Macaca mulatta: one gene and its partners. The protein of the gene in region 2 purifies or fractionates together with the protein of the main gene of each other region. This does not show direct contact. Links are inferred from orthologs where the notes say so. Each region holds a gene or a part of one and is shown on either strand. Other genes may lie near its edges.

Evidence for each region. The genes of interacting proteins can lie anywhere in the genome.
Region 1: the proteins of NCL (region 2) and DHX9 purify together in Homo sapiens (affinity purification with western blotting; 3 studies listed by BioGRID, with this or other methods). This does not show direct contact. The link is inferred for Macaca mulatta from reciprocal best matches to the Homo sapiens genes NCL and DHX9.
Region 3: the proteins of NCL (region 2) and STAU1 purify together in Homo sapiens (affinity purification with mass spectrometry; 4 studies listed by BioGRID and IntAct, with this or other methods). This does not show direct contact. The link is inferred for Macaca mulatta from reciprocal best matches to the Homo sapiens genes NCL and STAU1.

What each region holds. Positions count from the first base shown.
Region 1 is NC_133406.1:40,344,443-40,354,529, reverse strand, and holds the end of DHX9 (ATP-dependent RNA helicase A), read right to left. Parts: intron 9,605-10,087; coding exon 9,493-9,604; intron 8,839-9,492; coding exon 8,677-8,838; intron 8,583-8,676; coding exon 8,455-8,582; intron 7,534-8,454; coding exon 7,304-7,533; intron 7,153-7,303; coding exon 7,037-7,152; intron 6,158-7,036; coding exon 5,957-6,157; intron 4,317-5,956; coding exon 3,950-4,316; 3' UTR 3,539-3,949; downstream 1-3,538. UniProt on the Homo sapiens protein: Multifunctional ATP-dependent nucleic acid helicase that unwinds DNA and RNA in a 3' to 5' direction and that plays important roles in many processes, such as DNA replication, transcriptional activation, post-transcriptional RNA regulation, mRNA translation and RNA-mediated gene silencing.
Region 2 is NC_133417.1:136,709,608-136,720,781, forward strand, and holds the end of NCL (nucleolin), read right to left. Parts: intron 11,069-11,174; coding exon 10,588-11,068; intron 9,921-10,587; coding exon 9,723-9,920; intron 9,627-9,722; coding exon 9,540-9,626; intron 9,503-9,539; exon of another isoform or gene 9,433-9,502; intron 9,354-9,432; coding exon 9,212-9,353; intron 8,156-9,211; coding exon 8,031-8,155; intron 7,395-8,030; coding exon 7,271-7,394; intron 6,810-7,270; coding exon 6,652-6,809; intron 5,810-6,651; coding exon 5,686-5,809; intron 5,455-5,685; coding exon 5,321-5,454; intron 5,210-5,320; exon of another isoform or gene 5,130-5,209; intron 4,821-5,129; coding exon 4,694-4,820; intron 4,621-4,693; exon of another isoform or gene 4,484-4,620; intron 4,309-4,483; coding exon 4,085-4,308; intron 3,938-4,084; coding exon 3,861-3,937; 3' UTR 3,433-3,860; downstream 1-3,432. UniProt on the Homo sapiens protein: Nucleolin is the major nucleolar protein of growing eukaryotic cells. It is found associated with intranucleolar chromatin and pre-ribosomal particles. It induces chromatin decondensation by binding to histone H1.
Region 3 is NC_133415.1:101,963,553-101,974,726, forward strand, and holds part of STAU1 (double-stranded RNA-binding protein Staufen homolog 1), read right to left. Parts: intron 4,946-11,174; coding exon 4,807-4,945; intron 2,999-4,806; coding exon 2,833-2,998; intron 1-2,832. UniProt on the Homo sapiens protein: Binds double-stranded RNA (regardless of the sequence) and tubulin.

The sequences.
Region 1 (10,087 bases), on a different chromosome or scaffold from region 2:
CTTTCCTACCTTCTTCCGTGCCTCTTTCCTCAATATACCTCTTTCCAGGTACTGTGATCGCTCACCTGATTTTTGGTTCTTACAAAGGTGTTTTGTGTGGATCGTTTTCAGTTTGGTGTTCTTGCGGGGAGAAGGTCACTGGAGGTTTCTATTAAGCCATCTTGCTCCACCTCTCCTCATATCTTTTCTTAAAAGCTAAATTATCACTAAAATAGTCTCAGAAATTCAGGTAACCTCGGTTAACTTTGAGATTCAATATTACATTTTCCCCACATGGTCCAGAAATATTTTATACATGTGATAGGACAGTCTGCAAATATGAGTTATACAAATACAACTTTAAAAAACTTCCCTTTTTGTCTTCTAGACAGTAATTCAAGTCTAAGTCTTTCTGGCAAATACAGTAGAATTCAGGAGCTGTTTTCCCAGTCAAAACCAAAATTCGTATCAGTTCCAATAAAATTAGAAATTCCATTTTTGGTTTTCTTTACTATCCTCCTGTCCCAATTCTGTTTCCAGATTCAGAGAGAGGGAAATTGGAATTCAAATACATGCTTGGCTAAAGTTGATGTCTTCTTTCTTGTTGTTTGGGCTGACCCCTAAGTTGGCACAACTATTCATATTGTGATCTGTTCCTATGGCATAGGTGACGTTCAGAGGGTCTGGAGTGTAGCTCCACAGCATAGAAGATCCCATCAAATTGTAGCTGCTTGCTTGAGGACACTGTACCTACACCTTCTGTTAACACAGAGAGGTCTGCAGCTTGGCTTCCTCAAACTGGCACATCAGCTTTTTCTTCCAGATAACTTTCAAGCTGCCAACCACGGACTAAACAGGTGCAATTCAGGCCACTGTCTTTCCTGTCTGAACTTCTGGAAGGGCAGACTCAGTTGTCACTGCCAGCTCTACTACCGCAAACTCCAGTAGATATGTGCTGTGAGAGAAGGGGTGGTAAGCAGAAACCTTTCTACAAATTTTTTCCTCGAACTCTCTCCCATCTCCTGAACGGGAACGGTGTGTATTCAAGCTCTCATTTTGGAAGAACTTTCAGTCATTGCACACCTGCTGTGACATTCTTTAACTATTGTCTTTGTTCTAAGCAGAATGTAGAGATGACTAAGAAAGGAAATGAAGGCTGGGTGTGGTGGCTCATGCCTGTAATCCCAGCACTTTGGGAGGCCAAGGCGGGTGAATTGTCTGAGGTCCAGAGTTCAAGACCAGCCTGGGCAGGTGAAAACCCGTTTCTACAAAACATAAAAAAAATTAGCTGGGTGTGGTGGTGGCAGGTGCCTGTGGTCCCAGTTACCCACTGCTTAGGAGGCTGAGGTGGGAAGATCGCTTGAGCCTGGGAGGTAGAGGTTGCAAGTGAGCTGAGATTGCGCCACTGCACTCCAGCCTGGGTGACCCTGCCTCAAAACAGAAATTCAACAGTAGTTGATGTCTGAAGGTATTAATATACCACAAAATACTCTATGTAGCCTTCTGCTCTTTTAAGTCTCATCTAAAAAAAGGCATGATTTCTGGACTTTATAATGGATTCTTTGACAAGTGAAGTGGATTCCCACTTACAGCTATGACAAGTACAAATGGCACTTAACCTCCCATGTAAGCAACTAGTGAAACAGCTGCTTTCAGACATTAGGCAACAGGCAATGCAGAACTGTGATCCCCCAATAAGGAAAACAATGAGACAAGTCCATGACTATGTGGAAGCACTTTCTGGGTCACCGCGGAGGGAGAAACTACCAAGCAGAGCACTGCAGTTATGAGACAAACGAGTTTGGGGAGGACAGCTGAAATGTGTGGGGCACACACAGCGGGGAGCTACATATGAAGCTCCTTAGGTCTTCAGCTGAATATGAAAAGATTAGAACTATGCCTTAGTGCTTTTTTTCAACCTTTAGAGAATGCACTGACAACTTTTGGCCATTTTTCAATTTCACATTTCTAATTGAATTTGTTGGAGGCATGAGTACCATTCAAATGAACCATTATTGATTTTATACTAAGGGAGGAGACCATTCCTCGTATCATCTTATGCCCGATTTCTGCCTCCAAAGAAAGAAGTAAAAACTAAAAGGCAGAAATGAAATCCACAGGCAGACAGCCTGGCGCCACACCCTGGGCCTAGTAGTTAAAAGACTGACCCCTGACCTAATTGGTTATCTATAGATTACAGACATTGTATAGAAATGCACTGTGAAAATCCCTATCCTGTTTTCTTCTGATCTAATTACCAGTGCATGCAGCCCCCACCTGCTTGCTCAATCAATCATGACCCCCTCACACGCACCCCTAGAGTTGTGAGCCCTTAAAAGGGACAGGAATTGCTCACTCGGGGAGCTCGACTCTTGAGACAGGAGTCTTGCTGATGCCCCGGCTGAAAAAACCCCTTCTTTAACTTGGTGTCAGAGGAGTTTTGTCTGCGGCTCGTCCTGCTACTATACCTTTTATGGGAGTTTTCACAACGTGCAAAGGGAGAGAAAGCATGCTCCATCAATGGTGCTAGTTCAGTATGGCTAGCTACAGCTGTACAGCAGAAATGAAGGTAGAGCTGGAGTCAGGGGCTAAGAAGGGAGTTTAGCCTCTACCCTGCCGGCAGTAAGAACCATTGGTTTAAGTCAGGAGAGAGGGTATGAAATCAGATTCGTTTGGGAATGTTTACTCTAGCTGTAGTGGAGATTAGATTGAGGCAGGCCTGTAGGCAGGATCAGTTAAGTGGTTGCTGTGGCACTGTATGTCCAAACTAAGACTGAATAGAACAGAGGCAACTGATCTATAAAAGTATATTGAAAGATGTTTTGAGCTGACTAGAGGTGGTGGCTTAAGCAATTAAGCAGCTGAAAACTCCAAAGAAAACGGAGCAGAGAACACAGTACTGTCAGGACATAGGGTAGGTTGGGAGGGGAAGGAGGTCAGTTTGGAAAGCACTGAGATTTTTTTCTGTGGGATATTTAAGCAGAGATACATGTTCAGTATGCAGCTGCTTACATGGCTCAGAAAGGAAATCAAGGTTGGAGATAGACTTGTGTGTCTGTAAATATGTGCCATCAGCTTAACTGCTGAAGGTGATCTACAACATATATGCAGGATAAAGGACTTTGAAAAGGAAACCAAGACAAAAATATGACTTGCCCAAGATCATCCACATGGTGGAGAAAAGAATTAAGACAGACCCAGTTCTGTCTAATCCAATACCTTTGCCCTCTCCCATTGCTCAAATGAGAAATCTGCAAATTCACTGGAAACTGTAAAGTGTTATAAATGTATGAACATGTCTATTAAAGTGGCTTAAGAGTTCTAACGGAGTGATTATATTGCTTTTAATTGTCACAGTAGAAACTCACTTAGAAAAGAAAATGCTGGCCTTGGTCTTATTCAAAGACAGAATATGGGAGGAAGCCAAATGTTCAGCCCTAGGTCAAAAGTTTTATTCAGGTTTATGTGGCTTGTACACTTGCCAGTATTTACTTCAAAAGGTAACAATTCCAAGGTGATTTTTCTATTACAAGTAGTATCACTTAGTATACTTTTGAAACATGGTACAACTTCTCTGACATTTAAAATGAACAGATGTAACTGGCATTATAAAATTTTCTAATATATAAGGTCAACAAACTACACGGCAAGTATTCGGTGTAATACTTTATTTTCTACTGTATTAAACGAAAGCCAGGAAAATACCAAGTTATTTAAAGGCAAATCTTTACTCCTTAAAGAAAAAATACAAACTGTGGTATTTTTAAGATAGATCGTTATATTTTACATAATATAAACAAAATCACTAATGCATCTATATGCTTGGTTTCCTTAAACTACAATGAACCACAGAATGGGTGAAAATGCATTTACTTTTTGGTGGCAAATAAACATATTGGAAAAAACACGTAACACATAGCATGCCTTTTTTTCCTTACTGTCTACACACAGGAACTGACATAACCAAGATTTAATAGCCACCACCTCCTCTCCCCTGTCCAAAGTAGCCACCTCCATAGGCCCCCCTACCACCTCCTCGCTGGAATCCCCCAGATCCTCTGTAGCCTCCACTAGGCCCTCTGTAGTCTCCTCCAGAGTTGCCTCTAAAGCCACCTCGGGAAACTCCTCTATAGCCTCCACCAACACCTGCACCATATCCTGCCCGAAAGGAGTTGGGGCTGCCACCATAGCCTCCGCTACCATAGCCTCCGCCACCATAGCCTCCACTGGTATAGCCACCGCCATAGCCTCCACCGCTGTAACTAGAACCTCCCCTTCTATATCCGCTTCCATTGTCGTATCGGGCCATCTTGGGAGGACGTGGACCATCTCCATACCTAGGAAAAGCACAAAACCATCACTTCAGCAAAGCATTCTTATTATTTCCCAACCACTCACCAAATGCACACAGTTAGTTATATTTGAAAATTTAATACATAAAGGGAATGAAGCCAAACGCACAAATCGAAATTGAAACAAAATTGATCTGCTATTCTAAAACAGTCATCAATTATATCCATCTGTTTTTCTGAAGTTCTTTCTGGTTCAATCTCAAAGGTTTTGAATTTTGGCAGTATGTCATTACAACTTTAAGAAGTGCTCTTACTCAGGTCAACAACATAGTGTTCCAAGAAGGCAAGCATTAGGAGAGGGTTCCTGGAGCTGCCAATAAACTATTTGGTCTTTATCACTAAAAGTTTTCCTGCAATAATTCTGAAATACGATTTTGAAAAATGTATATCTAATTTTGAAAAATTCTATCTACTACTGTAATTTAGGCCACCACATATTCATACATCCTAAACTCTCTTACGTATATCCCTTTCTTTCTAGTTTCTGGACTACTATCCCTCATAGAAACAGATTATATATACAAAGGTTCCTTGCTTACCAGCCCTCCTACCAAAAATAATCTCTCTTCTCCTAAACACCCATGAATACTTAATTTGTTATCTGCCTATGATGCTTACTGAATTATCCTATACATTTAAGCACCTAGGAGGGCCACAGTAAAGCCTAGTAAGAACACTGTTTCAGGAGGCATGTTGCCTGGGTTTGAATCTGGTTCTATCAGTTATTAGTTGTATGACCTTGAGTCTTATCTGTGCCCGGTTTCCTTATTTATATTAAAGAGAATGAGGATAACCATCTACCCATTTTATAGACAGACCAAATGCAGTAAGTCATTTTTGATGAGGAATTAGAGGTCATTTTTGGATAACTGGAAGGATTTTAGTACAATAGCATATTATAGTATTACTAAAACACTTAAGGTTTTGGGGTGGTATTGTGACCATGTTCTTAAAAGATATGAAGTGTATTGATGTAAAATGTGGTAGTGCCTACTACTTCATCACAAATGATTAAGGAAATGTACAAAACGCTGAAAATTAGTGAATCTAAACAAAGACTATATGGCTAAACATTGTATCACTTTTCTGCCTTTTTGGCAAGTATCAAGTATTTGTAAATAAAAACTCATGGGCAAAGGAAAAAATTTTAAAACCTGAAGCAAATAAAAATTTTAAGAATTAAGATAAATTTCTCATTTCTTTGCTTTAAGATGTCCATGCTCTTAGTTGTTTAAGATAAACAAAAACACATACACATTGGATAAAGAAGCAATTTAACATCTCATCAATATTTTTTCTTTAGAGATGCCAAAACAGTACCATGGAAAAAGGGCTATCTGGGCTGTGTCACTTCCCTGTCATGTGACCTACTCTGAACTACGTATGTGTATTTGTAAGATCCTTTTCCAACACTACCAATACGCACTGATGCGGTAGACCAATTACTAACAAAGGGACTAACAAAAGTAAATGACATTTTTGTTCTGAGTTTGTTAGATGGAACTAAACTATCTGTATCTAGAATTTTACTTAATAAGGCTTCTATCACTAACTCTAGGAATTCTAGACCTATGAAAGATCTCTCCCCTCTACTTGGTTCAATGAGAAGTTAATATGGTACTCACCGTGTACTGCCAATCATAAGGTTGATACCAGCAGCTGAGGGTCTAGAGATTTGACGGATCATGTTCAGCATACGTTCATTTACAGGGTCCAACTGGCTGATGATAGCAGGTTGTTTGGTTACTTCAACAACAAGAGCCTCCATGGCTGCCCGGAGACCGGTGATACAGGCAGCAGCTTCATGAGATATTTGCAGTTTAATCCTAAAGTGGCGAAAAACATTAAAAGTAAGAGAGGGAGTATATGAAGAAAAAGACCATTATCTCTCAACCTCACACATGGCAAGTTAAAGAATAAATTTAACTTCTTAAGCATTAATATTTTTAAAAACTACTTAAAGTCTATCAAGCCAAATAAAATACAAAAATATATGTAATATATAATAAACAAAAGAAAGTCCGGCAATATGGATCATTCAGACTTATTATTTTTTGAGACACAGTCTTGCTCTGTTGCCCAGGCTGGAGTGCAGTGGCATGATCTTGGCTCACTGCAACCTCTGCCTCCCAGGTTCAAGTGATTCTCCTGCCTCAGCCTCCAGAATAGCTGGGACTACAGGTGTGCACTACCACACTGGGCTAGATTTTTTGTATTTTTAGTAGAGACAGGTTTCACCATGTTGTCCAGGCTGATCTCGAACTTCCTGAGCCCAACTCATCTGCGGCACCCAGCCAGATCATCCAGACTTTAAAAGAATGAATTAAGAGACCCAGAATGCTGGCATTTTCTAGGTTTTCAAGAATATGATGGCTGAGCCTACTGGCTATCCATTAAGCTCTATTCCATTTTTGCCCAGTGCTTGCCACTAGTTTTGAATCAATATAGAGAGTATGTGAAAGTGTATTCAAGTTTCACTTAGATTGATTCCATAGTGGTGTGCATAGTGGTTAGACATGGCTCAAATTTCTAATGCATCTGCTTCTACTGGTATCCGTTTAAGTATATACTATGCAATTAAGTTAGATATAATTAGTATATATTTAAGTTATAATTAGTATATAATTAAGTTAGATTAGCAGCTGAATTCCATCATATTATAATTCTAAGAATTCAGTTTGGAGTTCACAGCGGAAAATCCATACCAGTCATCTACAAGCACGATCTGCCCATCAGATTGGACTTTCTTGGAGGCAAACAGAAGCAACTGCAGGGGGGTGACTAAAGTCATGCCTTTAGCAGAGATGGCTCGAGTTCGAATCTGCAAATGGAGAAAGAGACAGTACAAAATGGTTGACATTCCAACTTCCAAATACCGCCACATACTGTGCTTTGAAAATCAAAATTCATATTCCTAATGATTGTGAAGACAATTTCAACTTTCAATGTTAACTTTTGTAGTCTTTTCTTACCTTTTCACCAAATACAAAGAAGGGAGATGGGTACTTCATGTCTTGGCTACTAAAAGGACAATTAACAGATGATTTATGGATAAGTGCATTACGTCCTTCAGTGGTGAGAATCTTTCTCTTTTCCTTATGATAGCATACATTGGGGTACACACCAAAGGCCAGGAGGGAGATAACAACATCCAAATTATTATCTGGTCCAGTGTTAGTAAACACTTGTGTCAACAAACAATCTGTTAAGAGGAGCAGAGTGAAAAGAAAAATCAGATAATTGGCTGATCTTCACATTACATGCAAACTATTCAAGAAAATTCAGAGAACTGACTCTTCCTCTCTTCACATAACCTGTCTGTAAAACTTTCTCATCTGCTACTCTTCAATAGTTGTTAGTTGTAGAGAAGATGGAATGATAATCTAAGAGGACACCTACTGGAATGAAGGCTGACGTTTTTACCCAGTCTACACTTTATGAGTACTTAGCTACTGACTGGAAAGCATGACAGTCAACCGCTGAAAGCACAGACATATTTTGTTCTAGACAAACGAGTTCTAGCCTTATAACCTCGTAATTGGATAAATTAAAGACAATTTATACCTTGGTGCCTGTTTCATTACTTATAAAATGCATCTCAAGACTCTAGCACATAAAAAGTTTTCCCTTTCTTATAATTCTGAGGAGAAACTAACATTTCAGCTGGCTTATGACAGAAGAGAACCACTCACTACTCTGTTAAGTTATTCCAATCACAGCCGTTAAAAATTTACCATCTTGCCCAACTACCTTCTGTCTCTCAACAGTCTTATCTCTGGTTATGCATTCCAGTTCTCAATGTTTTAGGAAATAATTCTATATTTTAACCTAGTTGGAAAAGAAAAGTACTACAGTTCATCTTTATATTAAAGCCATTTAAAATTTAATGTGGTAGAATTTACTTCAAGTCTAAATGCTAATCAATTACTTTGCAAACCACTATAAGGTTATCAGCAAAGTACTCATTCTGGGAGCTGGACCAGTATCCATGAGAACTAAGAAATAGTTGGGAATATAGAAAAATCATAGGGTCTAAAATTTGAAGCTAAAATACACTTTGCTGTCAATTTGCATGTACTATATAAATGTCACTTTAAAGGTATCTTAAGAATGGGAGTCTTACCTTCTGGAAACCCAGAATTAATCAAAATCTCTTTGAGTTGAACTTTGGCTTCCCAAGTCATTCTTAGTGTAGCCATATTAAGTCTTTTGTGCTCACAAAAACGTATCTCTGCTTCTTCTCCACCCATTCTAAAATAAATCGGTATGAGAAATCATTCTCTAAGACCCGAGAACTAAATACAAATGAGAAACTACAGACAGACCACCCAAATCTTACTCATACCTAGCATCATCCCAGGCTTGGAATACTGATAAAAGGGCTACGTGATCAGAAAATCTGTTTCCAGCAAAATTTCGATGGATATAGCCCAGCCGCTTTCCTTCATTGATGAAAGGCTCTGGAAAGCAGGTAGCAGCAGCAATGGTACAGATAGCATCTCCCACGCTGAAATACACAAAGACAGTTAAATTCAGACTAGATCACAATATTGTTGCCAGCAGCTCAGGTAGTACTGTCGACAGTGAGTTGCAGTCTTTATGGCTATGATTCTACTTTTATTTGCAATGAAATTGGCTTAACAAAGAACTTTACAGCTGCTCTCTTCAGAATCAGAGAGAAAAAAAAAAAGGTGCGCTGACATTCCAATGGTCACGTACTTACCATAATTATGACCAAGTATATTTTTCCTTTAATATTCTCTCTCTCTTCCCCATCATACCAAATCTCTTTAATCTTCAACATTTTCTGATAAAATAAACCTCTTTTGCTGATGCTGCTCTTTCAAGACCAACTATTAATAACGAGGGACCCTCCCACCCCGGCCTCCCAAAGTACTAGGATTAAAGGTGTGAGCCACATTGCCTGGCCTGCTTTTTACTTATGAGAAATCAGTGCCCGTTTCCCCGTGTTGGGCCCAGATATCCATCTACTGGAACTGTACATTTTTTTCGTGTTATACTTCTCTCAATATTTAAGTATGTCACTTCCCTTAAGAACATTCAGAATTTTTTTGTCTGAGCCAATACTGCTTTTACAGGGAGAAGAAGATTCAGAAATTATTCTACCACTTAATGAAGAGAAATAAAACAAAGCACTTACTAGAAAATACACCCCATTATCATCATTTTCCCAAAACGAGGCTCAATGGGGAGTTTAGCCAGGATTCGTCCCAAAGGAGTCAACTCATCATTGGCATCTAATGCATCAAGCTCTGTGGGGAGATAGTTTTTTGTGAGTAGAAACAAATGAACACTAATTTTAGGCAGACAAAACATTACTTTCTAAATTAAGGTTAAGAGAGTTTAGACTTCCTCTTTTGTCAAGCCACTGCTAGTACCATGTCTATAGTCAACAATTCTCTTTACTCAAAAATAGAACAAAATCAAAATCTGGAGCACTCAACATAAGGAAGGTACAAAACTACATCCTGCAGGTTATAAAAACAAATACAATTCATATTAAGTCTATAAATACAGTATTAACTATAATAGCAGCATAAGTTTCTATATGCCATAAGAAGTCTGACACTCAACTGTTAATGTTTTAGAAAAAAAATAAAATCTGGAGAAAATTCTGAAGTTACATAGCAGATAAATGCTAGATTCAAAATTCAAATTCAGATCTAGCTCCAATGCCCTTAATTTTCACTGCACTATTTTCACTGCTTCTAATAAAACAACTTTAGCAAGAAAAC
Region 2 (11,174 bases):
TTTTTTTTTTGAGACGGAGTTTCACTCTTGTTGCCCAGGCTGGAGTGCAATGGCGCAATCTCTGCTCACTGCAACCTCCACCTCCCAAGTTCAAGTGATTCTCCTGCCTCAGCCTCCTGAGTAGTTGGAATTATAGGCGCCTGCCACCACACCCAGCTAATTTTTGTATTTTTAGTAGAGACGGGGTTTTGCCATGTTGGTCAGGCTCGTCTCGAACTCCTGACTTCAGGTCATCCACCCGCCTTGGCCTCCCAAAGTGCTGGGATTATAGGCGTGAGCCACCGTGCCTGGCCCTACTGCCTAAATTCTTAATGGTGGAGGAGGAGTTTCGGCAGGAAGGAGGGAGTCTGTCAGATGCCGCAGGGAAGAAGGTGAACTGAGGGAAGACTGACCCCTGGCTTTGGCACCTTAATGATCACGATGGAGGAAGGGGGACAGAAGCCACACTTCGAGGAGGCTAGAGTATGCTCATCCTGAAAGTTTGGCAATGAAGAGAAGAGGAGACAACTGTGTGAGGTGGCAGGGTCGGGGGACAGTCTTTTGGAGTGAGAAAAGCTTTAGTTTTTTTTTTTAGGCTGAGGGGAGACAGTGAGACACAAAGATAACAGGGTAACTCTCAGAGAAAGGGCACAGGACATGCCTCCAAAAAATCTTAGCTGTAGGATCCAATTGGCAACTCCTTTTGCAGGGGTTGTGCAGCATCACTCGAGGTGGGGGACTCTCTGGGCCTGTCCACTGGTCCGAAATCTGACGGTGAGTTTGGAGTTAGAGATGCACAGGCCTGCAGCCAGGTCATCACCAGGCCTCCCTCCGGCAGGAGTTTCCAGATCCTTGTGGACTTATGCTGCCACCTGCTGGAAGCATGACAAATGTGGTGACAACCATTTGCAGAAGAAAACTATCACTTTTCTAAAATGGCTCCAAACACCACCGAATCAGAAACTAGAGACAGGCACCAGGGAAGACTGTGAATTTGACTTCAGTCCCTAATCACAAGCCCCAGTGTCTCTTTCTGGCCCTGCAGGGTAATCTACCTTCCATCCTCTTTTTTTTTTTTTTTTTTTTTTTTTTTTGAGATAGTGTTTCGCTTTTGTCGAGGGCGGAGGCTCACTGCAGCCTCCGCTCTCCAGGTTCAAGCAATTCTCCTGCCTCAGCCTCTCAAGTAGCTGGAATTACAGGTGCCCCCCTTGCCACGCCCAGCTAATTTTTGTATTTTTAGTAGAGACGAGGTTTCATCATGTTGGCCCAGCTGGTCTCAAACTCCTGACCTCAGCTGATCCACCCACCTCAGTCTCCCAAAGTGCTGGGATTACAGGCCTGAGCCACCGCACCCGGCCCTCATCTTCATTCTATAGGAAATCAGCACATATGATTAGAACAAGCACTGACAAATCACAGGACTGGACCATCTCTACTTGCCTTAAGGAATAGGAAAGAAAAAGAATCAGGAGATAGGAACCTTAGTGTCCTGCCCTTGTCTTGCCTCGCAGCAAGTTAGTAGAGGGGCTGAGGAAAACGCCCAGCTGCTGAGTACACAAACAGCAACTGTCCCATTATTAACAGCAACTTGATAGCAATGCAAGCCCCACCTTGGGAGCCATGAGCTCTTCCTGCAATTCAAGCCCTCCCTTGCACACAGCAAGGGAACCTACCAAAATCCCACTCCCATAGGCTCTCCAAGTGTTGAAAAAGCAGTGGCTGTGCTGCACCAGAGCCACCAGCAATCCCAACAGATGGCCACACAGCATATAGACTATCACTTACTTTAACCCATGAGCCTCCCAAAGATTGCACAAAGAAACCAGCTGCAGCACATTCTCAACTGGGTGAAGGCTGCAGGGAACCAAGGAGAACCCTGGAGGCATTTCATAGATTCCAGAAGACCTAGACACCAACTTCACAAGGTTTTTCAAACTGTTTCTGTCACCCAGACTGGAGGAATGCAGTGTCGGAATCAAGCAATCCTCCCACCTCAGCTTCCCGAGAACTGCAGGCTTATGCCATCATGACCATCTCTTGTAGAGATGGGAGTCTCACTGTTGTCTAGGCTGGTCTGAAACTTCTGGGCTCAAGCCATCTCCACACCCAAGGTTCCCAAGGAGTTGGGGTTACAGGTATGACCCACGGTGTGGTGCCCGGCCTCACAGGATCTTTCTTGAAAACCACTGTAGATTCTTATGTTCATACTATTTCCCTTGCTGCAATTTGAGACTTAATCCACAACACCCCTTATGGGCTTGTTATCTAAAAGCCTTCAATTCCTTATCTAGAATACAGACTGCAAGGCCTTCCTTTTTTTGTCCTTAGGCTTGCCTCATGGGAGACCCTCCCACTGCTTTTTATCATAGCTACAACCCTCACTGGCCGCCTTCCTCTCTAGAGCGTGAGTCTTGTAACTGGATTGTCACCACCCCCGTCCCCTGGACATGGAACAGGGCTGACAAGCAGTAGGTGATAAGCACAAGGATGTTAAGATTTCAGCAGCCCAGCTCAACCAGGGTAAACTTAAACCAGCTAAGGTTCTGCATGTTGCCTTCTAAGCTTATCCAAGTATCATAGTTGGATTTCGCTAGTCTGACTAAAACAGGGTTTTGCACTTGGCTACCTATGTTGATTTTGGGCACTGGGTTTCATCTAAATTCATCACGTTGTTGATAGTCCCACCTCTCATGTGGCCTTCGTCTTTTACTAAAAGTGGAGGTTGAGGCAAGTACTTAAGACCAGAAAGAATAAAGAATATACATAGTACAGAACAAATGGCTTTTTAGGGGTTTACTTGATGTGGTTTCCTCCCCAGCCGCATGGTCCCTGAGTGTCCACTGGTCTATCCACCTAGCATGAGTTCTATTCCAGAACTGTTTTGGAGACTCGCTGTTACCCAGCCTGGAGTATAGTGGTGCGTGCTTAGCTCACTGCAACCTCTGCTTCCCGGGTTCACGTGACTTTCCTGCTTCAGCTTCCTGAGTAGCTGGGACTACAGCAGTACATCACCACGCCCCGTTAATTTTTTTTTTTAGTAGAGATGCGGTTTTACCACATTGGCAACGCTGGTCTTCAACTCCTGACCTCAGGTGATCTGCCCACCTCGGCCTCCCCAAGTGTTGGGATTACAGGTGTGAGCCACTGCTCTTCCCAGATGCCCTTCCTTGTCCTAGGAGACCTAATGTGTTCCTGCGCCTCTTTCCAGAGTCTTCTACAGGACATAATCCTCAAACCTGCTAAAACTGGGAGAAGCTGCAGCAGCCTTCATCAGCATCAGGGCTGCAGGAGCGGGTCCCCTCACCAGCATTTCAACCAAGTTGGGGGCTGGGATACTGGAAACGCACGCACTACGCCATTTCCATTGGGATGGGTGAAGTGAGTGGCAGAGCTGGCTTTGCCATGCTCTCCAGTGACATTCCAGTGGAAACACTCTTTAGGAAGTAACACGTCTGGCACCAGAGTTGACTTTTAATTTGTCCTAAAGCCGCTGAAGCAAAAACCATAAAACATTCTGCTTTCTTTTCTTTTACAACCCCACGAACGCAAAAAAAAAAAAATAATAACAAAAGAAACAACAACAAAACCCAAACTATTTGTAGGAAAAAATGGTTTTGTACATGGGATGAAACAATATAAATTCAAAACTTACAGATAAGGGTTAGCTCTATCACTCAACTCTTTAAAAAGTTTATATGAATATCCAGTCAAAACCAACACGGTATTGCCCTTGAAATGTTAACTAGACGGATTTCCAAGGAGACCACAGGACTGTATATTGTCTTGGAATGTCCTCAGAAGGCTCTGTCATTGATCAGGTAACAGTAAAAACCCCAGAGTCCTTTCTTTCAAATGGAAAAGGGAAAGCCGAGGGACAGAAGCTATTCAAACTTCGTCTTCTTTCCTTGTGGCTTGTGGTCACCTCCTCCTCCTCTGCCTCCTCGGAAGCCGCCTCGCCCTACAGGGGGAAGGCAAGACACTGTTAAAAGAATAGGTACAAAGTTCCTCCTCCCAGTGATTAGGAACCGTGACAAGGCACGGTCTAAAGAGCATATGCTACGTGGTGTCCAGTAGACATTGAAGTCATTATCCCTGTGTGCCTTACCTCCAAAGCCTCCCCGGCCTCTGCCACCAAATCCTCCTCGGCCTCCTCTGCCACCACCTCGTCCTCCAAAGCCGCCTCTGCCTCCACCACGACCCCCAAAGCCACCTTCACCCTTAGGTTTGGCCCAGTCCAAGGTAACTTTATTTCCATCAATTTCACCATCTTCCATGGCCTCCTTGGCAGCTTTGGCATCCTCCTCACTGTTGAAGTCTACAAAACCAAACCTAGAACACCAAATGAAATTGCCCATTATAAAAAGCACCTACTGCACATGTCCCAAGTTAACGGCACACACTGGGGAGCCATCCCACAGAAAGTAGCCTTGTTTAGTTTGGAAAATATACCAGTGACAGAGTAGCTCTCTATGGAAAACTAACTGGTGTGACAGCTTGAACCCCAGAATGTCTCACAAAACAGCTAAATATACCTCTGTAAAGACAGAAGGTAAAATAATGCTAGTGCTGTGAATTCTCTCTTCTTCTCGTGCGAATCCATAAACTGCCACTGATAGACAGAAAGGAGCTCAATGAGAAGACACCTTAGACTCAAGGTCTCCACCGAACAAAAACCCCTTCAAGTGAAAGCAGCACTCATGCTTTCTTCCCTTACCCTTTGGAGGACCCAGTTTCCCGGTCAGTGACTATCCTTGCCCGAACAGAGCCGTCAAATGACTCCTTTAATGTCTCTTCAGTGGTATCCTCAGACAGGCCTTTGACAAACAGAGTTTTGGATGGCTCTGGGGAAGAAAAAAAATTGTGACTTTATGTGAAGTCACAGTTCGTAGTAACACTGAATTTGCACAATGCCTGGTATGACTACTGGCCAAGAATGCTTGTCTTAGTGGAAAAGCAGTGAAAAGCAACTAAGCCAACTAGTCCTTAATTAAAGTAAGGCTATTCTGAGTTTACATTTTTTAAACTGCCACTGCATAGTTGATATTCTGCCCCACATCTTCTATGGAAAGTGGGAGAAGAACCCAAGCAGGTGCTGCCCACTGGATGGGGCAGGAAATCATGGGCAAACTTGCTGCTCTGAGTTGACACAGCTGGATCAGAACTTGACTATCTAGAGGAATCTTCTTGAGATTTCATCAATTATTTCTCAGGTAATCAGTCATCATATCCAGTTATTGTTCACTCAGTAGCAACAGGAAACACAGAATTTGTGCAAAAAATAAACACCAAAAGCACTGAGAGTGCTACCCCCAACCACAGCATCCTATCCAGGTGAACTTACGGCTTCTGGCATTAGGTGATCCCCTGGGTCCTTGCAACTCCAGCCTGATTGCTCTGCCCTCAATTTCCCTTTTATTACAGGAATTTAAAGCTTCTTTAGCATCTTCGAATGAAGCAAACTCTATAAATGCATACCTGAGGATGAACAGTTAATGCTTAGAGTAAGTTACCAAGCACGTGCTCCTTCACTGTCACAAGATGCTGCCAAGCCTTCTCTCAAGTTGGTACCTAAATGACGCTCTTTTACACTCATTTACGTAGCTAAAATTATTTGGCTTTTCTGACAGGATCACATGACCTTACGTTCCTTTAGACCTGTAAGACATATATAGCCTGTAACTGATATAAAGGTATTAATTATCTTACCCTTTAGATTTGCCATTTTGGTTCTGGGGTACTTTGATAAAAGTTGCTTTCTCAAATACTTCCTGAAGAGTTTCTTCTGTTGCACTGTAGGAGAGGTTGCTTAAAACCAGAGTTTTTGATTCACCTGCAAATAGAGATGCCACATTCCTAAGACTCTGAAACAGTGGTTCCCAGCTTCGGTCAGAGCAGTAATATTTTATTCCTAAGCATTTCAGTGCTTGAAAGAGTTAACACACAAATACTGATGATGTAAGTGAAATCCACTTTTGTTACTCAACATATTAAGTACTTAGTACATGTTGCAATGTTCTGGTGGTGGTTCTTTATGTATAGGCTGACTACTGGCCTGTTTTCCTAGAACAATAATCTGAGTTCAAAACACACATAGTCGGCCGGGCACGGTGGCTCAAGCCTGTAATCCCAGCACTTTGGGAGGCCGAGATGGGCGGATCATGAGGTCAGGAGATCGAGACCATCCTGGCTAACACGGTGAAACCCCGTCTCTACTAAAAAATACAAAAAACTAGCCGGGTGAGGTGGCGGGCGCCTGTAGTCCCAGCTACTCGGGAGGCTGAGGCAGGAGAATGGCGTAAGCCCAGGAGGCAGAGCTTGCAGTAAGCTGAGATCCGGCCACTGCACTCCAGCCCGGGCCACAGAGCGAGACTGTTTCAAAAAAAAAAAAAAAACACACACACACACATAGTCGAAGTCATTTAAAGTATAAAACATACCTACAAAAAGGAAGCTTGATTTGCCTACTGTATTCCAATGCAAAATGATTTTACAGCTCTCATTCAAGATTGGAAATTACTATTCCAAATAAGAGTATAACTTAGGGTATAATGTCCTTGATCTTCACCTACATTTAAGTAACTTTGATTAAAAAGTATAAACTTATGAAGTACAAAGACACAAAGGAGTTCCCTCCATCAATTCTGGAACCCAGTAACAAGCCTAATTTCTTACCACTCCAAGTGCTATTCTTTCCACCTCTATAGTCTTGATTTTGACCTTTCTCTCCGGTATAGTACAGGGAAATAGATCGCCCATCAATCTCTGTTCCCTGCTTTTCCTCAAAGGTTTTCTCTGCATCAGCTTCTGTCTTAAATTCAATATAAGCAATCCTGCAATGGAGGGAGAAGAACTCATGGTTTTTAAAATCACATTAACACAAATGCTTTTATACCTCAGCAACACAGAACTTGCTTCAGATCTGAATACAATAAATGCCCTTAGTTTTATGCTACTTTTCAATCAAACTTGAGCTTCCCTCTTACTTCCCACTACAGTTTTACAAATACTCAAAATTTTTTCACAGTAACCTCACCTCACTGAACTACTACTCACAAAATATTTGTTGTAAGCTAGGCACATTTCTTGCTCCTTTATATGTATTACCTTGTCTTTTAAAATCACCCTATGAGTACGTTATCCCCATGGTACAGATGGGTAATTGAGGCACAAATTTACAGGTTAAACTGCCCAAAATTACACACCTAAGAAAATCAAACCAACATTTCTTTTATAAAGCAGGAATGTGTATTCATGTTAAGAAAACCCTTACATTTCAATAGACAGAACATACCCTTTACTTTTCCCATCCTTGCTGACTAATCTGATCTCCGCAGCATCTTCAAACACTTCTTTCAATTCATCCTGAGTAACTTTGTAAGGGAGATTTTTAGCCAAAAGCGTTCTCGCATCTCGCTCTAGATTAAAAAAACAAAAATGAGCTCCATGGCCTGAAAAACCAAAGGTGGGGGGCAACAACAAAGAGGGGGAAAAAAAAGACATAGCTCTATTCAACAAATAATTTGAGATCCTATAATGTACAAGGCTCTGTGCCTTGGAGATATAGCAGTGTCAACACACAAGTGGTCCCTCCATGTTGTCACAGCTGATGTCAAACTATCCGCTGGGTACACTAGAGTTCAACCTGGAGTAGATGCATATTATTTTTAGAAACAAAAAAGGTGAACGTACCAATTTAAAACATTACAACATTACAACTGTACATAGAGAAATAAAGTAAAGGATGCAAACAGTAATTAGGGACCTAATCTAGTTTCAGTGAAGACCCCTTTACATTAATTTAGGTGCATCTAATAATTCGTGTTCTGTATAAAAGTGCTCTTGCTTGCCTAACTCAAGAATTTACACTGTAACACTAGCAAGCAGTGCCAAGTACTCTTGTAAACACCAGCTCATTTAATTCCCACATTAAGAGGAAACCAAGGGGAAAAAAAAATTTAAAGAGAGGAAACCAAGGGAAATGGGTTACAAAGCATTTTCCCTAGCAGTCTAGCTCCTGAATTTATTGCATAATCTCCTAAAGCCTTACATACCCTTCTTACTGTCTTTTCCTTTTGGTTTCTCTAGTTTAATTTCATTGCCAAAGACTTTCAAACCAGTGAGTTCCAAGGCTTTCTCCAGGTCTTCAGCAGATTCAAAATCCACATAACCAAATTTCCTTCAAGGTGGAGAGAAGGGCAAAATTACAACAGATGAAAACACAAACTGAAATCCACAATATGTATTCTAGACAAATGTGATGATGCAAACAAAGATCACATTTTAAAAAGCACCCCTAATATTAGCAAAACAAAGTCAAGGCTCTGCAAATTGTAGCTACAGAATAAGGTCTCAGTACGGAGATATGATGTGCACATTCACGTTTGAGGTCATCATCATTAGCTAAATTGCTTATAACAATTCACAGTAGCAGCTGACAAAAGAACACCTGTAAGCACTAATACAGGAGAATCCTGCCTGGATAAAAGCATTCACTATGATGACTAGTCAGGTCTAATAGTTTCAGGTACTTCCAAGAAAATAAACATCAAATTATTATTATTTTAAACTGAGACAGAGTCTCGATCTGTTGCCCAGGCGGAGTACAGTGGTGCGAACTTGGCTCACTGCAACCTCCGTCACCCAGGTTCAAGCGATTCTCCTGCCTAACACCAACACTGGTGCCTCAAGACCCCAATTTAGGCTGGGCACAGTGGCTCACGCCTGTAATCCCAGCACTTCGAGAGGCCAAGCTGGGTGGATCACTTGAGGTCAGGAGTTCGAAACCAGCCTGGCCAACATGGTGAAACCCTGTCTCAACTAAAAATACAAACATTCGCCAGGCGTGGTGACGTGCACCTGTAATCCCAGCTACTCAGGGGGCTTAGGAAGGAGAATCATTTGAACCCGGGAGGCAGAGGTTGCAGTGAGCCAAGATTGCGCCACTGTACTGCAGCCTGAGCGAAAGCCAGAGTCCGTCTCAATAAAAAACAAAACAAAACAAAAAAGACAAAAAAACTTACTAAGATTATTCTGTGCTATACCAAGTTACAACTGACTGGAAATTGCAATCCAGGGACTCTATAGTTTAATTGTAACTTAGTTCACTAATGCTAATCCTTGAAAATGTTTACACTATTCATGTTTAGGAGTGGCAGGCTAAAGTAACTGTGCTAATAAGGGAAGGAAAAGTATTAACAGACCCATGTGTATGTAATGTGCATGAAGCACTTACCTAGTCATACCAATTCTGACATCCACAACAGCAAGATCATTTTTAGCAAAAACATCGCTGATACCAGTTTTTAACTCAGGAGCAGATTTGTTAAAGTTTAGGTTTCCAACAAAGAGATTGAAAGCCGTAGTCGGTTCTGTGCCTATACAAAAAAAGCTGAACTCAGTCTACTTGTGAAGTGTGGTAAAAAGTTAGTTTCCAAAGCAAAATTTCTATACACAGCACATCAGCACACTGCAATGTAACATCATGTTTCAGTATTAAGTCCCTTTGTCATTCATCATTTGTGCTGTTTATCTCCCCCACATCCCCTAATTCTGCAAGTTACCTTCCACTTTCTGTTTCTTGGCTTCAGGAGCTGCTTTCTGTTTGGCCATTTCCTTCTTTCGTTTTCCAGGTGCTTCTTTGACAGGCTCTGGACAAGATGTCAATGTATTACCCATCAATAGCCACAAACACTTAAGTGCCTCCTTTAAACAACTCATGTCAATGTATGTCAGAATCTAATTACCTTCCTCCTCCTCTTCTTCCTCCTCATCTTCATCATCATCATCTTCATCCTCATCATCTTCATCGTCGTCATCATCCTCGTCCTCATCATCCTCTTCTTCATCTTCATCCTCAGCCACGTTCTTGGCTTTCACAGGAACAACTTTTGCAGCTTTCTTTCCTTTGGCTGGTGTAGTCTCCATAGCTTCTTCTTCAGAGTCTGAAAGATAAGCCACCTAAAAATTGCAGCAATCTCCCAAAACCAACATCGGTTTTAAAATCTAATGCAATCCTGTCACCATGTTTAGTTAATAGTCATGGCAAGAAGAGATTACTTGGGGCCAGGAACAGTGGCTCACGCCTGTAATCCTAGCACTTTGGGAGGCCAAGGTGGGTGGATCACCTGAGGTCAAGAGTTCGAGACCAGCCTGGCCAACATGGTGAAACCTCGTTTCTACTAAAAATACAAAAATTAGTAGGGCATAGTGGTGGTCGCCTGTAATCACAGCTACTTGGGAGGCTGAGGCAGAACTGCTTGAACCCTGGAGATGGAGGTTGCAGTGAGCTGAGATAGCGCGCCACTGCACTCCAGCCTAGGAAACAGCAAAAACTCCCATGTCAAAAAAATTAAAAAACAAAAACAAAACAAAAAAGATCACTAAGAAACAAAATCCTACATTATGAAAAACACTCACAGAATGTGCTGTTGAAATTTTCTCAGGAGGGACAAAAATCATTCATGGGTAATTAAGTCTAACACACAACAGCCCAGAGAATTCCCACAAGGACTCTACTCTCATCTCCAGGTTGTTGTGGAATATGTTGATCCCAGAATCTCAAGATATCTTGCAATCAGAAGCCCAGTAACTACCAAGACAACTCCTTACCATCTTCCTCATCGTCATCATCCTCATCCTCATCATCTTCATCATCCTCATCATCCTCATCCTCTGAGGCAGGGGCAGCAGCTGCTGCTTTCATCACTGCTGGTTCAATTTCATCTTCATCCTCATCTTCGTCCTCATCATCCTCATCATCTTCCTCACTGTCATCCTCCTCCTCTTCATCACTGTCTTCCTTCTTGGCATTCTTACCATTCTTTGCCCCCTTGGCTGGGATGGCAGCACCCTTCTTACCAGGGGTTGCTACCAATGCTTTGCCTGGTGTGGCTCCCTTCTTGCCAGGTGTGGCAACTGCTTTGGCTGGTGTAACTGTCTTCTTGGCAGGTGTTGCTGCTGCCTTTTTGCCTGGAGTGACAGCTGCTTTCTTGGCTGGTGTGGCAACTGCAACCTTTTTTGTTGGGGAAACTACCACCTTCTTTGCTGAGGTTGCAGCAGCCTTCTTGCCTTTCTTCTGAGGTATGACAACCTTGAGAATAAATGAAAACCAAACCAGTAAGTCCAGCCCCACACCCAAAAAGATAACCATGGTCCCAGTGAGTGTTAGATTCTGCCAATGCTTCTGGTTCAAGACC
Region 3 (11,174 bases), on a different chromosome or scaffold from region 2:
TTTTTTCCCCAGCAAAGCTCCTCAGAGTTTTCACAGGACCCAGTGAGAAAACAGCCCAGGAGAACATGTCCACAACAACTGCTGCCCTCAGGACTGTGCCAACCAACGCTGCTCTAGTGAGTGAAGGTGGGAGACTCAGAAATACCAATAGGCACTTATCCTTTGTAGCAATACTCTCATCATTCTCATGGAGGAGTCAAGGGGAAGAACTGCTGGGGAAGTGCTGACAGCGCTTAGATCCGTGGTTCTCCAACCTTGACCATACCTCAGAATCACTCCAAGAGCTCACTAACAACATGGCTGGGTATGGTGGCTCATGCCCGTAATCCCAGCACTTTGGAAGGCCAAGGTGGTCAGATCACCTGAGCTCAGGAGCTTGAGACCAGCCTGGGCAGTACAGTGAAACTCCATCTCTACTAAACATACAAAATTTAGCTGGGCGTGGTGGTGAGCACCTGTAGTCCCAGCTACTCGGGCAGCTGAGGCACAAGAATCGCTTGAACCCAGGAGGTGGAGGTTGCAGTGAGCCAAGATCATGCCACTACACTCCAGCTTGGGTGACAGAGGGAGACTGTCTCAAAAAAAAAAAAAAAAAAAAAAAAAACCCAGCAAGAACAATAAAAGCAAAAGCCAGATTCCTGAGTCTTACCCTAGACCTACTGCATTAGAATCCCGGGGTTGGGCCTAGAATTTCTTTTTTTAACTTCTCAAGTGATTGTGATGCACAAAATCCATATAGCAGTGTCCAGCAATTGTTTATCAACTATTGGCTGGAAGTACTAGAAATACCTATTCCATCTGACTCCAATTAAGATTAGCACCAGTCAGGTAAAAAGCTGAAGAGCCTCCAAAATAACTCAAATTCCACTACCTTTTTGGTGTTTTAACAAATCTCACCACTGAAAAGCTCATCCTTTTAACTTCACTAAATCCTCCTCTTTTAGCTACAGCCTCATTTTCTTTGATTTGGTCCTTAGTGGGCCATGGAAACAGATCATCTACTAGAATAGGTGATTACAGTGGAAAATGGAAACGCAGCGTAACGAAAGAAAAACAAATCGTTCCTGTGCAGCCAGCCATGAAGCCCGAGCTGGGTCGCCCTGGGTGGCAGTTGGATACAACAGACCTCAGCAGGCACCCTGCCCAAGGTCCGCTTGGGTCTACACCTCTCATCACATACTTAGCCCACTGTTCTGTGCAGGATCTTCTTGTTCTTTGTGAACATGTTTCCTGGTGAAGAAAAGTCAAATGCTACCCAGAGATATTTTCAGGTGGCATTTCCTGCTGTGATTAAACAGAATTATGAAATCTCAATGTTTTCAATTCACTGGGCTTCTTCTGGCCTTTGTGACTCTACCTGTGATAAGATTCTGCCTGGCCAAAGATATTCACTAATGCTTTGACCCCCTCAATGGCATGGAGTTACTGATTCCCTAAGAATTATATTGCTATTGAGTCACAAAAATGTTAATAATCCTTTTCCTATCATGGTGGTTTTAAAGCATGGTCCCTAATTCTTTGACAATCCCTTCATCATCTGGAAATGGGATTCTCCATATTGTGAATGTACTAAAATCTACTGAATTGTACACTTACACTAGTCAATTTAGGTTATATAATTTTTACCCTCAATTTTTTTTTTTTTTTTTTTCTGAGATACAGTCTCGCTCTGTCCCCAAGGCTGGAGTGCAGTGGCACAATCTCGGCTCACTGCAAGCTCTGCCTCCTGAGTTCACATCATTCTCCTGCCTAAGCCTCTCGAATAGCTGGGACTACAGGCTCCCACCACCACGCCCAGCGAATTTTTTGTATTTTTAGTAGAGACAGGGTTTCACCGTCTTAGCCAGGATGGTCTCGATCTCCTGACCTCATGATCTGCCTGCCTTGGCCTCCCAAAGTGGTGGGATTACGGGCGTGAGCCACTGTGCCTGGCCACCTCAATTTTTTTTTTTAAGTGACATTTTATATCTCCTTCCTTTGAATCTGGGCTCTGTGCCTGCTTGACCTGTAGAACATGGCAGACACGATGCTGTGATTTCTGAGCCTAAGCCTTAAGAAACTGGCAGCTGCTTCCATTTCCCATCTTCTAGGATGCTTACTCTGGGCAACCAGCCACCATACCATGAGGAAGTGTAAGCAATCCTTCCATAGGTCACCCAGGGATGAACTGAGGTCCTGGGGCCAGAGACCCAGCTGAGCTCCTAGCTGACAGCAAGCACCAACTTACCAGCCACACGAGTGAGCCATCTTAAAAGCAGATCTTCCAGCCCCCTGCAGAGTCACCTCAACCAAAGCTGTGTAGAATGAAGACAAGCTACCCTTACCAAGCCCGGCCTCAGTTGCAGACTTATGAGCAAAATAAATGCCTGGAGATGTTTAAACCATCACTAAATTCTGTGACGGTTTGTTATGAGGCAATAGATAACAGGCGCTTCTATATAATCAAGAGTGGCTGGTCAAAAACAGCTTCAGAAAATTCTCTAACCTGGTACCATATATCACAAGCAAAATCTTCAGTACTGAAGACTTCATCCGTACATGTTCTTCACAACTCAATTGAATCGCAAACTTTCTAACGTGTTCACACCATGTCACTCAAAACCATGCCATAGACTGGAAAAGAAGGCAACTGACTTTCTTGTTAAGAAATTTTAAAACGAAAAAAGGGGTAAAAAGCAAGAAAGCTACAGAGCATAAAATCTTGGAGGCATTCAAATAAAAATTATGGACAGCTGTCAACATGCCTTCTTAGAAAAGATAACGTGCAGTGACATCTCCCCACTACCCTCCCACCCTGTCGAAGCGTCAGGGAGCCTGGGCTCCGCTCCTTACCTCCAGCCTCTCCGGTGGGGGCTCATTCTGCAGGATCCTCAATGCTTTGGCAGCAGCATCATGTTTCGCAGCCTGTCTTGTCTTTCCTTTCCCATTAAATTGCTGTCCTCCCACAGAAAGTTCCACTTGATAAAGTAAAGGTGGAACTGGAAATGGGTAAAAGTACCTAGAAATAAAAGGAGGTTAGGCAAATTACAGTCTCAAGTTGATAAGTCACCTATACACTCTCTGGCAAATGTTCCTTCATCACGATCCTACTCACATTAGTGTTTGATGCTAATCACTCTTCATCAATATATCCAGAGATTTCATAAAAGCTTAAACTGGATTAGAATTGCTACACAGTATAAGAAAAGAGTTTTTAGCAATCCAAACTTACATCTCAGGAAACACAATGGCTTAGAAATTATGAGTTTATCATGCTAACCTGCACTGACAAAATCTAAAATGAATTAGGCTTTGGCGGAGACAGACACTTGGTTTGCTCTGCCTTCTCAAACCTTAGCTTTAAATTTGCATGTCTCCAATAGAAGGCTGGGAATTTTAACGCACAAGTCTTTTAGAAAGGACCCTCATTTCAAGAAATCCCAACAAGCTGTAGCCTACCTAGCAGAACCCAGTTTCTCATTCATTTCCCTAGCAGAACCCAGTTTCTTATCCATTTCATAGCTTGTATTTTTAAAATGGCTTTATCCCCCAACAGAGAGCAGGGAAATGAAGAATTCCATTTTGTTCATCATCTATCCACTAATTTTTTTTTTTTTTTTGAGATGGAGTTTCTCTCGTTGCCCAGGCTGGAGTGCAGTGGCGTGATCTCAGCTCACTGCAATCTCTGCCTCTTGGATTCAAGTGATTCTCCTGCCTCAGCCTCCTGAGTAGCTGCGATTATAGGTGCCCACTACCAGGCCCAGCTAATTTTCATATTTTTAGTAGAGACAGGGTTTCACTGTGTTGGCCAGACTGGTCTCAAACTCCTGACCTCGTGATCCGCCCACCTCAGCCTCCCAAAGAGCTGGGATTACAGGCATGAGCCACCGCGCTCGGCCTCCACTAATGTCTTACTACTGCCGGCAAAAGATTTTTTAATCCATGGCATTTTCAGGTTTCAATTAATATTTTACTGCAACAAAGCTATTTACAAAGCGCACAAGTTCAAAAGTCAAAAAGTACCCAATTATCAGGTAATCTACAAATGCTGGGAATCACTGTCTTGCAGGAATCATGATGCTATGGGAATCATGTTTGAATAAGATTCAGTTACACAAAGCAGTTACAAGGGTGATCTTTAGCCAGGCTGCTAGAGGGCACAAGCCACACTGCCAGTGAGAAATATGCTCAGGCCCTTTCCAAGAGCAGTAAAGAAGCACAAAGGGCCGGGTATAGTGGCTCATGCCTTTAATCCTAGCACTGTGGCAGGCTGAGGCAGGAGGACTCCTTGAGCCCAGGAGTTCAAGACCAGTTGGGGCAACATAGGGAGACACTGTCTCAATGAATTAAAAAAAAAAAAAGAGGGGCGGCCGGGTGCTCTGTGAGTTTGGGACTCACTTTGGGAGGCCAAAGTGGGCAGATCATCTGAGGTCAGGAGTTCAAGACCAGCCTGGCGAACATCGCAGAACCCCGTCTGTACTAAAAAATACAAAAAAAACTTAGCCGGGCGTGGTGGCAGGCGCCTGCAATCCCAGCTACTCGGGAGGCTGAGACAGGGAGAAATCACTTGAATCCAGGAGGCTGAGGATGCAGTGAGCCGAGACAGCGCCACTGCACTTCAGCCTGGGCGACACAGCAAGACTCTGTCTCAAAAAAAAAAAAGGCAGGGGAGGGGCACAAGGCACAAGAGTAATTAAGACCGACTTCAACATTTGGCAGGCCCAAACCAAATCATTACTCCCTCCACAATCTAGAGGTACTAGTTTATGTAAAATATCACACATTTTCACCTGTATTTTATGGAGAAAAAAAAAAACTCACACATACCTCGGGGGATAAGCACCTCCTCTCATGTTGTAGTTATAGGTGGACTGCATCCGAGAGTAAGGGTCAACAGGCTTATACATTGGTTTTTTTCCAAGTTTCATGCACAGTGCATTTAGTTCTACAGTAGGAGTTATGCTTTCTACAAGAAAGAATCGACAAATAACTGTTTTGTTCTGATATGAGAATGATACTCACTAAAATAAAATGTAATAGCATGCTTTCTGCTAATCGGATTCATGATACATAAAAGGACCTGGGTCACTGCTAGGCATCAGACAAGGAAATCCAAGAATATGCTGTGATTTCTCGATATTTATATATAGTCAACAGCACAAAATCTACTCTGAGGGTTATCAGAGGAGCCACAATTTAACCCAAGACATTATCAGTGAAAGCTATATGGTACAGCTGTCAGAAATAAGTTCCAAAACACATCAAATTTCACGATTAAAAAATCCCATGTAAATGTCCAAATTATTTTAGTGTTTGAGAATATTTAATCAATATAACCTTGGTTGTACTGATTTACAGGATTATTGGCTTGCACTCAGAAGTATATCTGTACACACTATTGAATGATGCATTTATTACGTTACTAACTGGATGCAAAGCACTGTGCTAAGCTTAAGAAATACAATTCCTGGCCAGGCATGGTGGGTCACGCCTGTAATCCCAGCACTTTGGGAGGCCGAGGCAGGCGGATCACGAGGTCAGGATATCAAGACCATCCTGGTTAACATGGTGAAACTCCGTCTCTACTAAAAAATACAAAAAATTAGTCGGGCGTGGTGGTGGGCACCTGTAGTCCCAGCTACTCAGGAGACTGAGGCAGGAGAATGGCCTCAGGAGGCAGACCTTGCAGTGAGAGTGGCTCACGCCTGTAATCCCAGCACTTTGGAAGGCTGAGGCGGGCAGATCACCTGAGGTCAGGAGTTCAAGACCAGCCTGGCTAACATGGTGAAACCCCATTTCTACTAAAAATACAAAAAATTTGCCAGGCATGGTGGCACGCACTTGTAATCCCAGCTACTTGGGAGGCTGAAGCAGGAGAATCACTTGAACCCAGGAAGCGGAGGCTGCAGTGAGCCGAGATTGCCTCACTGCACTCCACATCGGGCAACAAGAGTGAAACTCTGTCTAAAAAAAAAAAAAAAGAAACAATTCCTGCCCCAGAGGAGTTCAAAGAACACAAAGCACACTTAAAGAGCTACAATACAACACGATGTGCAACTCAAGGTGAAAAATCACTGAGGCGACCGCAACCCAATTCTTTTTGGAGAAGTTACACAAGGCCCACAAAATATTCAGGTATTTCCATTCTTGATATTTCTAATGGAATTTGACCTGTGGTAATACTTGCTAGGAAAATGAGTTCCATTTTCATATACAACAAGTTATCTCAAAATGTATCAACTTCAGAAGATACATGCTATTCATTTTCCAATTTTTCTTTCTCTCAGTTCATCCAATCCATAAACTTTTAAAAACCATTTAAAAAGAAAACCAGCCTGGAAAGATTAGTGTCAGTGCACAATCATATTTAAAAACAACACTTTCATATCAAAAACAGAACACTAGAAATGGCAAAATCTAAATGCACACAAAAATCCACTTTAAAATGCCTCTTTAGGGTGTATATACAGAGAAATAAAAAAGACCTTATTCTGTACTATAATTGGTTCAACTAAATTTAATGCATGAATCAACTCTATAAGAATAACATTGGGGTTTGCACAGAGGGCCACATGAATTACAGATCTCTCTCTTTCTTGCATTAGAATTATATTTTTTACAGAATTCATATAATTGCATTTTAAGTACAGTCTGAATCATTTTAAGAGCAGTTCTGATCCACAGAATTTGTCTGCAATAGAGAATAACCATGAAGAAAGTATACTGCAAAGAAATCAAAAGTAACAAGAAAGATGTGACTGATAACTTCCCAGATTCCTTCCTACATACCAAGATCTGGGATGACTTCATGCATCTGAGGGGGTCTCTGCTAAAACAGCCATTAATGACACAGCCTCCAGGTCACTGATCCCCAACCCTTCACCAGCCACACCTTCTTGATTAGCATACTCCCCTTGCATGGGTCCCTTGTTTGAGGAGATACTACCTGCTGGCTTGTATTTAAGTAATATTTACATTTAATATTACATTTTCTCATTCTTTTTAATTAAGAGACATACAACTGACAATAAGCACTTCTGACCAACAAAATTACAATCGATATTACCACACTGACTTGATGTGACTCTAGATAAAATTTATATTATTGCTAATCTATACAATCTTATCAAAAATATATTTCATTAAATTTTTCGGAAATCTTTGAAATTATTTGGTCACCTGCCATCCTTCCTACGACCGCCTTGACCGCCTTTCCAGACTGTCAGGCGTTGAGGCATCACAGATTGGAAACCACTGCTTTACAATGAGGTTAAGATTCCCAAAAAATAAGCATTTGTCACTGGTTGTGTAGAATCTGTGCTTTCAAAATCGACAAGTTTGTTAAGAAACCATTCGTATACATATTAAATGGTAGTACCTCTAGATACACTTTTGAAAGGTACCTGTTTGGCCCATGCATAAGACCTGGATTCCTTCCTTCGCTACTAAAGGACAGACTGTGGGCTTAGGAAATTTTGTTCCCTCCAAAGCTTTAGCAGCAACTGTGTATTTGATCTTTTTAATACCAGTTCACTCAGCTCACCGGTGCTGATCTCCAAGTGTCAGCAGTACTGTAAATTCCTAGAAATGAAAAGTGTGAGCTCTCAATTCGTGAAACCTGACATTGACTGCAGTATGTCACTTGAACCTTGAACACTTTCTATGGTCACGGTTTAAGAGGCCTGGTCTTATCTTGATAATTCATCCTGTCATCCCCTTCTTATCCTTTTTTGTCGTTTTTATAAACAAACAAAAAAAAAGAGATTGTGTTGTGTATGCACTGCAATTCTTTTTTGTTTTTAGAGACACAGTCTCACTCTGTCCCCAGGTTGGAGTGCAGTGGTGTGATCTCGGCTCAATGCAACCTCCACCTCCTGGGTTCAAGAAATTCTCCTGCCTCAGTCTCCCAAGTAGTTGGGATTACAGGCACCTGCTACCATGCCCGGCTAATTTTTGTACTTTTAGTAGAGACGGGGTTTCACCATGTTGGCCAGGCTGGTCTCAAACTCCTGACCTCAAGTGATCCACCTGCCTCAGTCTCCCAAAGTGCTGGGATTACAGGCATGACCCACCATGTCCAGCCTCAAAATTCTCTTCCAATTACTTCTCATGAAAGAGATTTTGTACACTTGATTTAAACACATAGTAGTACTTCACACAAATTAAGACAATGTTTTGATGCTGCAATGTGTTTGTGGGCTCTTGTTTGAAAGCATAACCACCCTTTTTTTCAATTTTTGAGATGGGGTCATACTCTGCTGTCCAGGCTGGAGCTCAGTGGCACAATCATAGCTCACTGCAGCCTCCAGAGTAGCTGGGACTACAGGCACACACCACCATACCTGGCTTTTTTTTTTTTTTTTTTTTTTTTTTTTTAAAGACAAGAGTCTTGCTCTGTCGCCAGGCTGGAGTGTAGTGGCATGATCTCAGCTTACTGCAACCTCTGCCTCCCAGGTTCAAGCAATTCTCCTGCCTCAGCCTCCTGAGTAGCTGGGACTACAGGCATACACCACCACGCTCAACTAAGTTTTGAATTTTTAGTAGAGACGGGGTTTCACCATATTGGCCAGGATGGTCTCCGTCTCTTGACCTTGTGATCTGCCCGCCTCGGACTCTCAAAGTGCTGGGATTACAGGCGTGAGCCACCGTGCCCAGACCATACCTGGTTAATTTTTTAATTTTTGCAGAGGCAGCGTCTCCCTATGTTTCCTAGGCTGGTCTTAAACTCCTGGGCTCCAGTGATCCTCTTGCCTCAGCCTTCCAAAGTGATAGGATTTAAGGAATGAGGATTTGTATTTTTAACAAGTTCCCAAAGTAATTCTGATGCACCCCAAAGATCTGAGATTCGTTACTTCGGAATTTATCAAATCAACTGAAGCGGCCCGGCGTGGTGGCTCACACCTGTAATCCTAGCACGTTGGGAGGCCGAGGCGGGCCGATAACCTGAGGTCAGGAGTTCGAGACTCGCCTGGCCAACATGGTGAGACCCTGCCTCTACTAAAAATACAAAAATTAGCCAGGTGTAGTAGCACATGTCTGTAATCCCAGGTACTCAGGAGGCTGAGGCAAGAGAATCATTTGAACCCTGGAGGTGGAGGTTGCAGTGAGCTGAGAACACGCTACAGCACTCAAGCCTGGGTGACAGAGTAAGACTCCGTCTCAAAAAAAAAAAAAAAAAAAATTAATTGAAGCTTTTACTTTTCTGATGTTATCGCTGAATATCACTTTATCTCACTTACAAACAATTTACAGGGGAAATCTGGATTTCAGTATGTCTAGGTCATTTAAGTTTGGTGCCTTAAGGGGTGGGGCAACTTGCCTTCATAGCTGATTTTTCTTGTAGGTCTTACTTTTAGGATTCCCTCAGTGCACAGCTCCCACTAAAGGAAAAAAACATAAAGAATCCTTTATTGGCCAGGTGCAGTGGCTCACGCCTGTAATCCTAGCACTCTGGGAGGCCAAGTCAGGCAGATCACTTGAGGTCAGGAGTTCGAGACCAGCCTGGCCTAAATGGTGAAACCCCATCTCTACTAAAAATGCAAAAATTAGCCAGGTGTGGTGGCACGCGCCTGTAATTCCCGCTACTTGGGTAGCTGAGGCAGGACAATCACTTGAACCCAGGAGGCAGAGGTTGCAGTGAGCCAAGATTGCGCCAGTGCACTCCAGTATGGGCAACAGAGTGAGACTCCATCCCAAAAAAAAAAAAAAGAAAGCCAGGTACGGTGGCTCGTGCCTATAATCCCAGCAGGTCGCGCCACTACACTCCAGCCTAGGCCACAGAACGAGACTCCATCTCAAAAATAAATAAATAAATAAATAAATAAATAATCCTTTACTCCCCCCGCGCCCTTGACACTTGACACATCAGGACATCAGGGATCTCCTTTATATATTCTGCAGTTCACCGGGCTACTCATTTAAGAACAAATAACAGTATGACCTCAAAACCCTGGCAGGCAGGAAGGTCAAACGGCAGAAGCCTGCAACGCGGTACAACCCCTGGGTCATCTTGGTGATTGTCTCATGGATAAATGCTGAAGGAGAAAATGCTAAAAAAAAACCAAAAAAAACAAAAAAAACAAAAAAAAAAAACAAAAAAACCACACACACACACACACACACAGTTATTCTCATGAACAGTCTTGCCTTTCTCTAGGACTTCCCCATCCGGCGCTAGCTGCCACTCTGCTGCATGCTGTTGGTAGCGAGGTTAGAATCTTGGTTTTGACAGAACTAAAAGTACACCACATTTCTTGATTTTTCAAATAATCTAAATCACCCAAGAGAACAACTTCTCCTCTTTGAACAACTTGTGGGTAAAAAAATATGCGGTTAGAGATGAACACACAGCCAAACTACCTAAATTATTAAAAGTTAAAGTGAGAAAGTGCATAAGCCAAAATATAATAAAAAGTTAATAAAGGGAATCCCAAAGTTAAGGTCTGCAAAAAAATCCTGTAAATACAACAGTTACAGAAAAATTACTTACGGCCTTCTATTTCTATTTTAATTAATTGATTTTTTGATAAAGGGTCTCACTCTGTCACCCAGACTGGAATGCAGTGGTGCCATCTCAGCTCATTACAGCCCCCGCCTCCCAGGCTCAGGTGATTCTCCTGCCTCAGCCTCCTGAGTAGCTGGGACTACAGGCGTGCACCACCACATCCAGCTAATTTTTGTATTTCTTGGTAGATACGAGGTTTCACCATGTTGGCCAGTCTGGTCTCAAACTCCTGACCTCAAGTGATCTGCTGGCCTTGGCCTTCCAAACTGCTGTGAATACAGACATGAGCCACTGCTCCCAGCCCCTAATTGCCTAAAAGTGTCTATCAAGACACATTTCAAATAGAATTATGCTTTAAAACAACATTTTTAAGCTAGTTTTGTGTGAGTGGGAAATATTCGTTTTTCTTAAATGCTTAATCCTGCCTCAGCTACCCAAGTAGCCAGAATTACAGCTACCATTTCTCAAGCATTTACTAGGTGGCAGGCATTGTGCTCCACACGTTAACATACATGCTCTCATTTAATTCTCACAATAAATCTATTTGGTGGGTATTATTATCCCTATTTTACAGATGAGGAAACAACAACAAAGTAGTAACTTGCACAAGATCACACAGCTAGTAACACGCTGAGATTCAAACCCAGATCTGTCTGACTTCAAAGGCAACTCAACCGTGTTATGCTATGGT